Linked DNA regions of Saccharomyces cerevisiae S288C. The protein of the gene in region 1 binds, or shares a complex with, the protein of each later gene. Each region holds a gene or a part of one and is shown in the gene's direction. Other genes may lie near its edges.

What was found.
Region 2: VAR1 (region 1) and MRP2 share a complex: the UniProt entries of both Saccharomyces cerevisiae proteins name them as parts of the mitochondrial small ribosomal subunit.

What each region holds. Positions count from the first base shown.
Region 1 is NC_001224.1:47,101-52,741, forward strand, and holds VAR1 (mitochondrial 37S ribosomal protein VAR1), read left to right. Parts: upstream 1-1,800; coding exon 1,801-2,997; downstream 2,998-5,641. UniProt on the Saccharomyces cerevisiae protein: Component of the mitochondrial ribosome (mitoribosome), a dedicated translation machinery responsible for the synthesis of mitochondrial genome-encoded proteins, including at least some of the essential transmembrane subunits of the mitochondrial respiratory chain.
Region 2 is NC_001148.4:874,698-878,483, reverse strand, and holds MRP2 (mitochondrial 37S ribosomal protein uS14m MRP2), read left to right. Parts: upstream 1-1,854; coding exon 1,855-2,202; downstream 2,203-3,786. Other genes in the region: mediator complex subunit NUT2, read right to left, coding at 1-408; MET16 (phosphoadenylyl-sulfate reductase (thioredoxin)), read left to right, coding at 852-1,637; Rho family GTPase RHO1, read right to left, coding at 2,487-3,116; MMS1 (Mms1p), read right to left, coding at 3,558-3,786. UniProt on the Saccharomyces cerevisiae protein: Component of the mitochondrial ribosome (mitoribosome), a dedicated translation machinery responsible for the synthesis of mitochondrial genome-encoded proteins, including at least some of the essential transmembrane subunits of the mitochondrial respiratory chain.

The sequences.
Region 1 (5,641 bases):
TATAAATTATAATAAAAAATAATAATAATATATAATATACCTTTTTTTTAATATATTAATATATAAATAAATAAATAATGGATAATATATAATTACTTTTTTTATATTATTAATAATAATAATTTATAAATATTGTTATAATAAACATTTATATAAATAAATATAAATTACCATAATAAGATATATTATTTATTAATAATAAAAATATTTATTAATAAATAAGAAATATATATATTATGATAATATTTATTAATAAATAATAAATTCTTTATATATAAATATATTAAATATATTTAATTGAACACAATATAATTTTTATTGTATTATTCATTTAATAATATTAATATTAATATTAATATAATATTAGTGAACATCTCCTTTCGGGGTTCCGGCTCCCGTGGCCGGGCCCCGGAACTATTAATATTTAATAAAATATATATAATTTATAATTTTCATATAATTAATATAATAATTAGGTTTATAAATAAATTATAATATATTATAACAATATAATAAAATATATTATAAATCTATCTATCTATCTATATAATATATAAATTTATATATACATTAATAATATTTAATTATAATTATTTAAATATTTAATTTATTAATATTCCCCGCGGGCGCCAATCCGGTTGTTCACCGGATTGGTCCCGCGGGGTTTATATTATTTAAATATTAAATATTAAATAATAATTTATATTATATTAATAAATATAATAAATTAAAAATATATGATTAATTATATAATAATAATAATAATTATTTTAATATTATAATTTATAAAATTAATTATATTAATTATATTAATTCTTATTATATAATAATTATTAATAATAATTTATTTTAAGAAAGGAGTGAGGGACCCCCTCCCGTTAGGGAGGGGGACCGAACCCCGAAGGAGAAAATAAATTAATAAAAGTTTAAAAGTTCTTATATTAATAATTATATAATATTATATTAAAGATTTTTATAATATATATATATAATATATTTATAGTTCCGGGGCCCGGCCACGGGAGCCGGAACCCCGAAAGGAGTTTATTTAATATTTATATTTATATTAATATTTATATTTATATTTATATTCCTCTTAAGGATGGTTGACTGAGTGGTTTAAAGTGTGATATTTGAGCTATCATTAGTCTTTATTGGCTACGTAGGTTCAAATCCTACATCATCCGTAATAATACATATATATAATAATAATTTTAATATTATTCCTATAAAAATAAAATAAATAAATAAATAATAATAATTAATTAATTAATTAATTTTAATAAATATAAAATATATAAAAATAATAATAATAATAATTATTATTTTAATAATATTATTTATATAATAGTCCGGTCCGACCCTTTTTATTCTTAAGAAGGGATTTTATTTTATTAATTAATAATAATATATTAAAAATTATAAATAATTAATAATTCTTTATATTTATATATATATATATATATTTATATATTTATATATATATTTTAATAATATTATGATATATTTTATTTTAATAATATTTTTATTTTTATATATAAAATTATAATATTTTATTTTATAAATTATTTATATATAAATTATTAATAATAATTATTTTTTTTTATTTGGGATTTATATTATTATTATAAAGAATATAATGTTATTAATAACTGCAAAAAATATCTAATATATTATTATTTATAATAATAAATAATATTATAATAAGGATGCATATTATATATATATATATATTTCTATTTATATTAATATTAATATTAATATGTATATATAATAGATAAAAAGTAAAAATAAAAAATAATGAAATTAAAATTATTAAATATAATTTTATCAATAATAAATAAACTTAATAATAATAATAATATTATTATTAATAATCTATTAGATTCATTAATAAATAAGAAATTATTATTAAAGAATATATTATTAGATATAAATAATAAAAAAATAAATAATATAAAAAGAATATTAAATAATAATAATATAAACCCCGCGGGCGCCAATCCGGTTGTTCACCGGATTGGTCCCGCGGGGAATATTAATAATAAATTACAACATTTAAATAATATAAATAATTGAAATCTACAAATTTATAATTATAATAAAAATATAGAAATTATAAATACTATAAATGATAAATTAATTAATAAATTATTATATAAAATAATAACTTTAAAATTAAATAATATAAATATTAATAAAATTATTATAAGTAAACTTATTAATCAACATAGTTTAAATAAATTAAATATTAAATTTTATTATTATAATAATGATATTAATAATAATAATAATAATAATAATAATAATTATTATATAAATATAATAAATAAATTAATAAATATTATAAATAATAATATAAATAATAATTTATGTAATATTTTAAGTTATTATTATAAAAAAAAAGTAACTATTGAACCTATTAAATTATCATATATTTATTTAAATAGTGATATTTTTAGTAAATATATTAGTTTAAATGATATAGATAAATATAATAATGGTATCTTAACTAATTATCAACGTATATTAAATAATATTATGCCTAAATTAAATGATCATAATATTTCTATAAATTATATTAATAATATTAATAATATTAATAATAATAAATATAATAATATAATTAATTTATTAAATAATAATAATAATATTAATAATAATAATAATTATAATAATAATAATAATAATTATATTGGTAATATTAATAATATTTATAATAATATAACTATTGATAATATTCCTATAGATATTTTAATATATAAATATTTAGTTGGTTGATCTATTAAATTTAAAGGTAGATTAAGTAATAATAATGGTAGAACTAGTACACTTAATTTATTAAATGGTACTTTTAATAATAAAAAATATTTATGAAGTAATATTAATAATAATTATAAATTAAATTATATCCCTTCTAATCATAATTTATATAATAATTCTAATATTAATAAAAATGGTAAATATAATATTAAAGTTAAATTAAACTTTATTTAATATATATATTAATAGTTCCGGGGCCCGGCCACGGGAGCCGGAACCCCGAAAGGAGAAATAAAATAAATATAATAAATAAAATAAATAAATAAATAATATATATATATATATAAATATATAAAATAATATTTACTTTTTATATATATATAATTATATATAAATAAAATATAATATAATATCATATAATTATATAAAAATAAAATTATAATTTATTTATATTAAAAATATTAATTAATTAATTTTTTTATATAATTATTATAATAATAATTTAATTAAAAATAAATATCAAATAAAATTATAAATTAATCCTACTTTTGGATCCTATTTATATTTTATTATTATAAATAATTATTATTGATAGTTAATTAAATAAAAATATATATATATATTACTCCTTCGGGGTCCGCCCCGCAGGGGGCGGGCCGGACTATTATAATTATTATTAATATATTAATTATTAAATTATATAAACCGCCCCCGCGGGGGCGGTTAGTTATTTATATTAATATATTTTATATTAATATATAATACTCTTTTTTCTATTATATTTTAATATATAATATTAAAAAAAATAAATAAAATAATATTCTTAATTTTTATTCTTTATCTTCTTTAACCAAACTCCTTCGGGGTTCGGTCCCCCTCCCATTAGGTTAGGGAGGGGGTCCCTCACTCCTTCGGGGTCCGCCCCCCCCCGCGGGGGCGGGCCGGACTATTTTAAATTTTAATTTAAATTTTATAAATATAATATTTAATTATAAATTTAATAATAATATATAAAAAATATATATATGGTTAATATATATAAAGATTATAATCTTTTTATTAAATAAAGGAAAATTTATTATATAATTTTTCTCTATAGTTATATATTTAAAACTTATTTTTTTTTTTTTATAAATAATAATTATAATAAATAATATTAATTATTTATTATATAATTAATTGGCCCCCATGCTGGGTTCCGGAACTCCTCCTTCTCGCGAGGTTAACACCTATTATATAACTATAACTATAACTATAACTATAATTATAATTATAACTATAACTATAAATATTCATTTTAATAATAATAATAATAATAATATTAATATAAATAGTCGAAGAATATATTTATTTATTTTAATATAAATAAAAAGTTTCAATTAATTTGAATTTGGAATTAAATTATTACTTCATATGGGGTTATGGATTTCGTTCGGAACTCCTCCCTCCTACCTCTATTTATTAATCATAAATCATAAATTATTATTAATTAATAATAATAATTTACTCGAGGTTCATACCTATTTTAATATTAATATTAATATTGATAAAATATATATTCACTAAAAAGTATATAATTTACTCAATTTATACTATAATTTTATATTTTTTTATTATAATTTAATTATTTCAAATAAAGTAATTATAATAATATATATCCTTTATTAAATATATATTAATTAATATATATATAAAAAGTAAATATTATTAATTGTATATAATTATAAATAATTAATATTTATTAAAATATATATAATTTATAATCCTCATATAATTAATATAATAAATAATATAACACAATGTAATTTAATTTAATTACATAATAAATTTATTATTATTATAATTATTATTTATTTATTTATTTATTATTATAAATTATAAATATTATTATAATTAAAATCAATTATTAATTATTAATGATAAATAATTAATGATAAATTATCAATAACCAATTAGATTATTTATCGATATTTAATTATATTATATTATATTATATTATATATATATATATATATTATATTATAAAATTTATTTATAAATATTTGTTTATTTATTTATTTATTGAATAACAATAGAATTAAATATTGTCAATAAATAATAAATAATGTTTAATATATATTATATTATATTAATATTAATATTATTATTATTTTTTTTATTATATTAATATAATTTATAAAAATATAAAATTATTATTTTTATTATAATTTATATATATATAATATATATATTTATTAAAATATTTTAAGAAAGGAGAAAAATAATTAAATTAAATTAAATTAAATTATTTATTATTATTATTATTATTTATATAATAATATATTATTTAAATATTTATATATTATTTTTATATTAATATTTATAGATGGGGGGTCCCTATTATTATTGAAAATAATAATTATTAATGGACCCCAGATAGCTTCTTGTTTATCATTTATATATATATATATATTATTAATTATTTTATTCTCCTTTCGGGGTTCCGGCTCCCGTGGCCGGGCCCCGGAACTTTATAATATTATTATTAATTATTTAATTAATATTATAATCATATAATTTAATATTTTATTTAATTTTATTAAAATTTAATATATATATTTTTATTATTATTTAATTAATTTATAAATATAAAATATTCTTAATATTAAAAATAAATAAATAATAAAGTTTATAAATCATATATTATAATTATTTATTATTTTTATATTATATTAATAAAATATTATTATTATAAAAAAAAATAGAAATTTTATAATATTTTTATATATTTTTAATTATTATTATTAATATTTATTAAAGGAAATATAAAAACCGAAGGAATATTATAATTATAATTATAATTATTATTATATTTAATTTATTATTATAATAATAATTA
Region 2 (3,786 bases), on another chromosome or scaffold:
CAACTCTGGAAATTCATCCACAATCTTGTCAGCAAGTGAATCTCTTAATTGCTTCAATCCATGCATCTTGCCTCTTTGATATTGGTTGGATCTTCTTATGGCTTCCACGAACTCTCTTGTGTAAATATCTGGATTTCTACCGTCCTCAATGTATTGAACAACTTCCAAGGGAATGTCCACCTTAGACAAGCTGGATTGAGGATCGTTGCTTCTCACGTTCAGCTTGTACAAGCGATCCACATTTCTTTGCAAGTTGGTGATCATTCCCTTGGTGGCTTCTGGAGTACCAGGAAAATCATATATCGAGACACCTAATTCAACGAAGGACTCAATAATCGAAGCCACTTGGTCTTGAGTAGTGGCCAGTTCTTGCTGCAATTGTTCATTGTTAGTGCTGTTTCCATTCATCTTATCGGTTTATTTTTCTATATATTTGCCTCTTTCTCAAACAGGAGTTAGTAGTTAAAAGTACGAAGTTCTTGTTCTTTAATGCGCGCTGACAAAAGAATTGGATAAAAGAGAATGGTGGGGGGACAAGAAGGAAATTTGTCCTAGTTTAACATGAATGGCATCTTGTTACCGGGTGGACATCACCTATTGATTCTAAATATCTTTACGGTTTATCATACTGTTCTTTATTCCGTCGTTATTCTTTTTATTTTTATCATCATTTCACGTGGCTAGTAAAAGAAAAGCCACAACATGACTCAGCAAATCTCGACAAAGTAAAAGCTCATAGAGATAGTATTATATTGATATAAAAAAAGTATACTGTACTGTTTGTAACCTTTTCAATGCTTTAAGATCAAAACTAAGGCCAGCAAAGGTATCAACCCATAGCAACTCATAAAATGAAGACCTATCATTTGAATAATGATATAATTGTCACACAAGAACAGTTGGATCATTGGAATGAACAACTAATCAAGCTGGAAACGCCACAGGAGATTATTGCATGGTCTATCGTAACGTTTCCTCACCTTTTCCAAACCACTGCATTTGGTTTGACTGGCTTGGTTACTATCGATATGTTGTCAAAGCTATCTGAAAAATACTACATGCCAGAACTATTATTTATAGACACTTTGCACCATTTCCCACAAACTTTAACACTAAAAAACGAGATTGAGAAAAAATACTACCAGCCTAAAAATCAAACCATTCACGTATATAAGCCGGATGGATGTGAATCGGAGGCAGATTTTGCCTCGAAATACGGGGATTTCTTATGGGAGAAAGATGATGACAAGTACGATTATCTGGCCAAAGTGGAACCTGCACATCGTGCCTACAAAGAGCTACATATAAGTGCTGTGTTTACTGGTAGAAGAAAATCACAAGGTTCTGCCCGCTCCCAACTGTCGATTATTGAAATAGACGAACTTAATGGAATCTTAAAAATAAATCCATTGATCAATTGGACGTTCGAGCAGGTTAAACAGTATATAGATGCAAACAATGTACCATACAACGAACTTTTGGACCTTGGATATAGATCCATTGGTGATTACCATTCCACACAACCCGTCAAGGAAGGTGAAGATGAGAGAGCAGGAAGATGGAAGGGCAAGGCCAAGACCGAGTGTGGAATTCATGAAGCCAGCCGATTCGCGCAATTTTTAAAGCAAGATGCCTAGATAGATAGAGTACGATATATAACCATATGTATGTGACTAATTATTTATTCCTTAATAACACCAATGATTACAACTTTCTAAAGCTGGCGGAGAATTCGCGCTGTACGAGAAAAGAGCGAAAACAGAGGAATATTCAAACTAAGAACCAAACTGCGATAAAGAGGATTGAAAGGAAAAACGAAAGAAAAGGTAAACTGACAAATATATACATTAACCGATGGGTAATTTCAGATTTCCTATAAAAACCAAGCTACCACCAGGGTTTATCAATGCTCGCATACTTAGGGATAACTTCAAAAGACAACAATTTAAAGAGAATGAAATCCTTGTTAAATCTTTGAAATTCATCGCTAGAAATATGAACCTTCCAACAAAACTGAGGTTGGAGGCTCAGTTAAAACTAAATGCATTGCCAAACTACATGAGATCTACGCAGATCAAAAATAGGTGCGTGGACTCTGGACATGCAAGATTTGTTCTAAGTGATTTTAGGTTGTGTAGGTATCAATTTAGAGAAAACGCTCTGAAGGGTAATTTGCCAGGTGTTAAGAAGGGTATTTGGTAAAAAATTTTATCGCGAAAGTATATATATATATATATATAGGATACGCACTTGTAAATAAATACATGATAATTTTTATTCTTCTTTAATAGATGATAATACTTACTGAGCAATACACTTATATGTAGAGAAGAATAAGATTATACACATACTGGGAGAAAAACAAGTAGCTATAGTTAGAGCTAAAATAACAAAAAAAGGCATACGTACATACAATGAGAAAAGGAATGGGATTGAAAAAGGGCAGTATCTGCCACTAAGTTAACGACTGAGAGATCGAGACACTCCTATAACAAGACACACTTCTTCTTCTTCTTTTCAGTAGTGTTCTTCTTAGCTTTACCATTCGTTTTAGATTTACCCATCAATGAAGCTCTAGTGGCGGCCTCAAACACTTCTCTGACACCATAACCAGTCTTGGCCGAACATTCGTAGTATCCGGTTGCGCCAATCTGGTCTGCTACAGATTGTCCCTCCTGTGATGTAACGGGTTGTTGACCTTCTTGTCTTAATTGTTCAATGGTTTGTGGGTCGTTTCTCAAATCCACTTTACAACCAACAAGAATAATTGGCACACCTTGACAGAAATGTAATACTTCGGCAATCCATTTTTCTTGTACATTCTCTAAAGAATCTGGAAGATCGATAGAGAAACAAATTAATACGACATTGGAGTCTGGGTATGACAATGGTCTTAGTCTATCATAATCTTCTTGACCAGCGGTATCCCATAGCGCTAGCTCTACACGACGCCCATCAACTTCAACATCTGCTACATAGTTTTCAAAGACAGTTGGTACGTAGACTTCTGGAAATTGGCCCTTGGAAAAGACGATTAATAAACATGTCTTACCACAGGCACCATCACCAACGATTACCAGCTTTCTTCTGATACTGTTACCAACTTGTTGTGACATCTTTCTAGTATAATTTTTAAAGTTCTATGATTTTCTATTAGTGCAACAATAAACCTCTAACAGCGATTCTTTTGTTTTATTAATTTTGTTCCTTTTTTGAGTTTTGTAACTTTAAGTTTGGGTTGTTCCAAAAATGTTTTTGCAATACTCAGAGGAATGATCGATGGTCGAAACGATATTAAAGACGAATTCCTGCTGGTAAAATAAATATATACGATTAGGATAAAGAAGTATTTGTATCAACTACTAAAACATGTAGTACCCAATACAAATCAAACAAAAATTGTATAATCTGTTTATTTTTTTTTCTGAGGCGAAGCAAATTGGAAACAACAAGAATTCTTGTATCTTTTTTTAGCCCCTTGTCACGCTGCACGACGCGTAGCACATTGATCGAGAATCACGATTTTATCAGCGACAATGTTATTGGAAATGAGGGAATTATACTGTGTTCTTGCAGTTATCGCTAAGGTTCCATAACCCAACCTCACAGATGAGGTCAGATTTAACTATTGACCTTCTTGAAACCAAATAGCCAGAATTCCATCTTGGTTCGTATTCGTCCTGGCAAGGCAACCTGTCCTTGCCGAATTTGTGAATTGTTTGATCTGCCATTAGCACATATAAAGTTTGTACTGCGGGATCGTAACTAATATCTTGAATAGGCTTG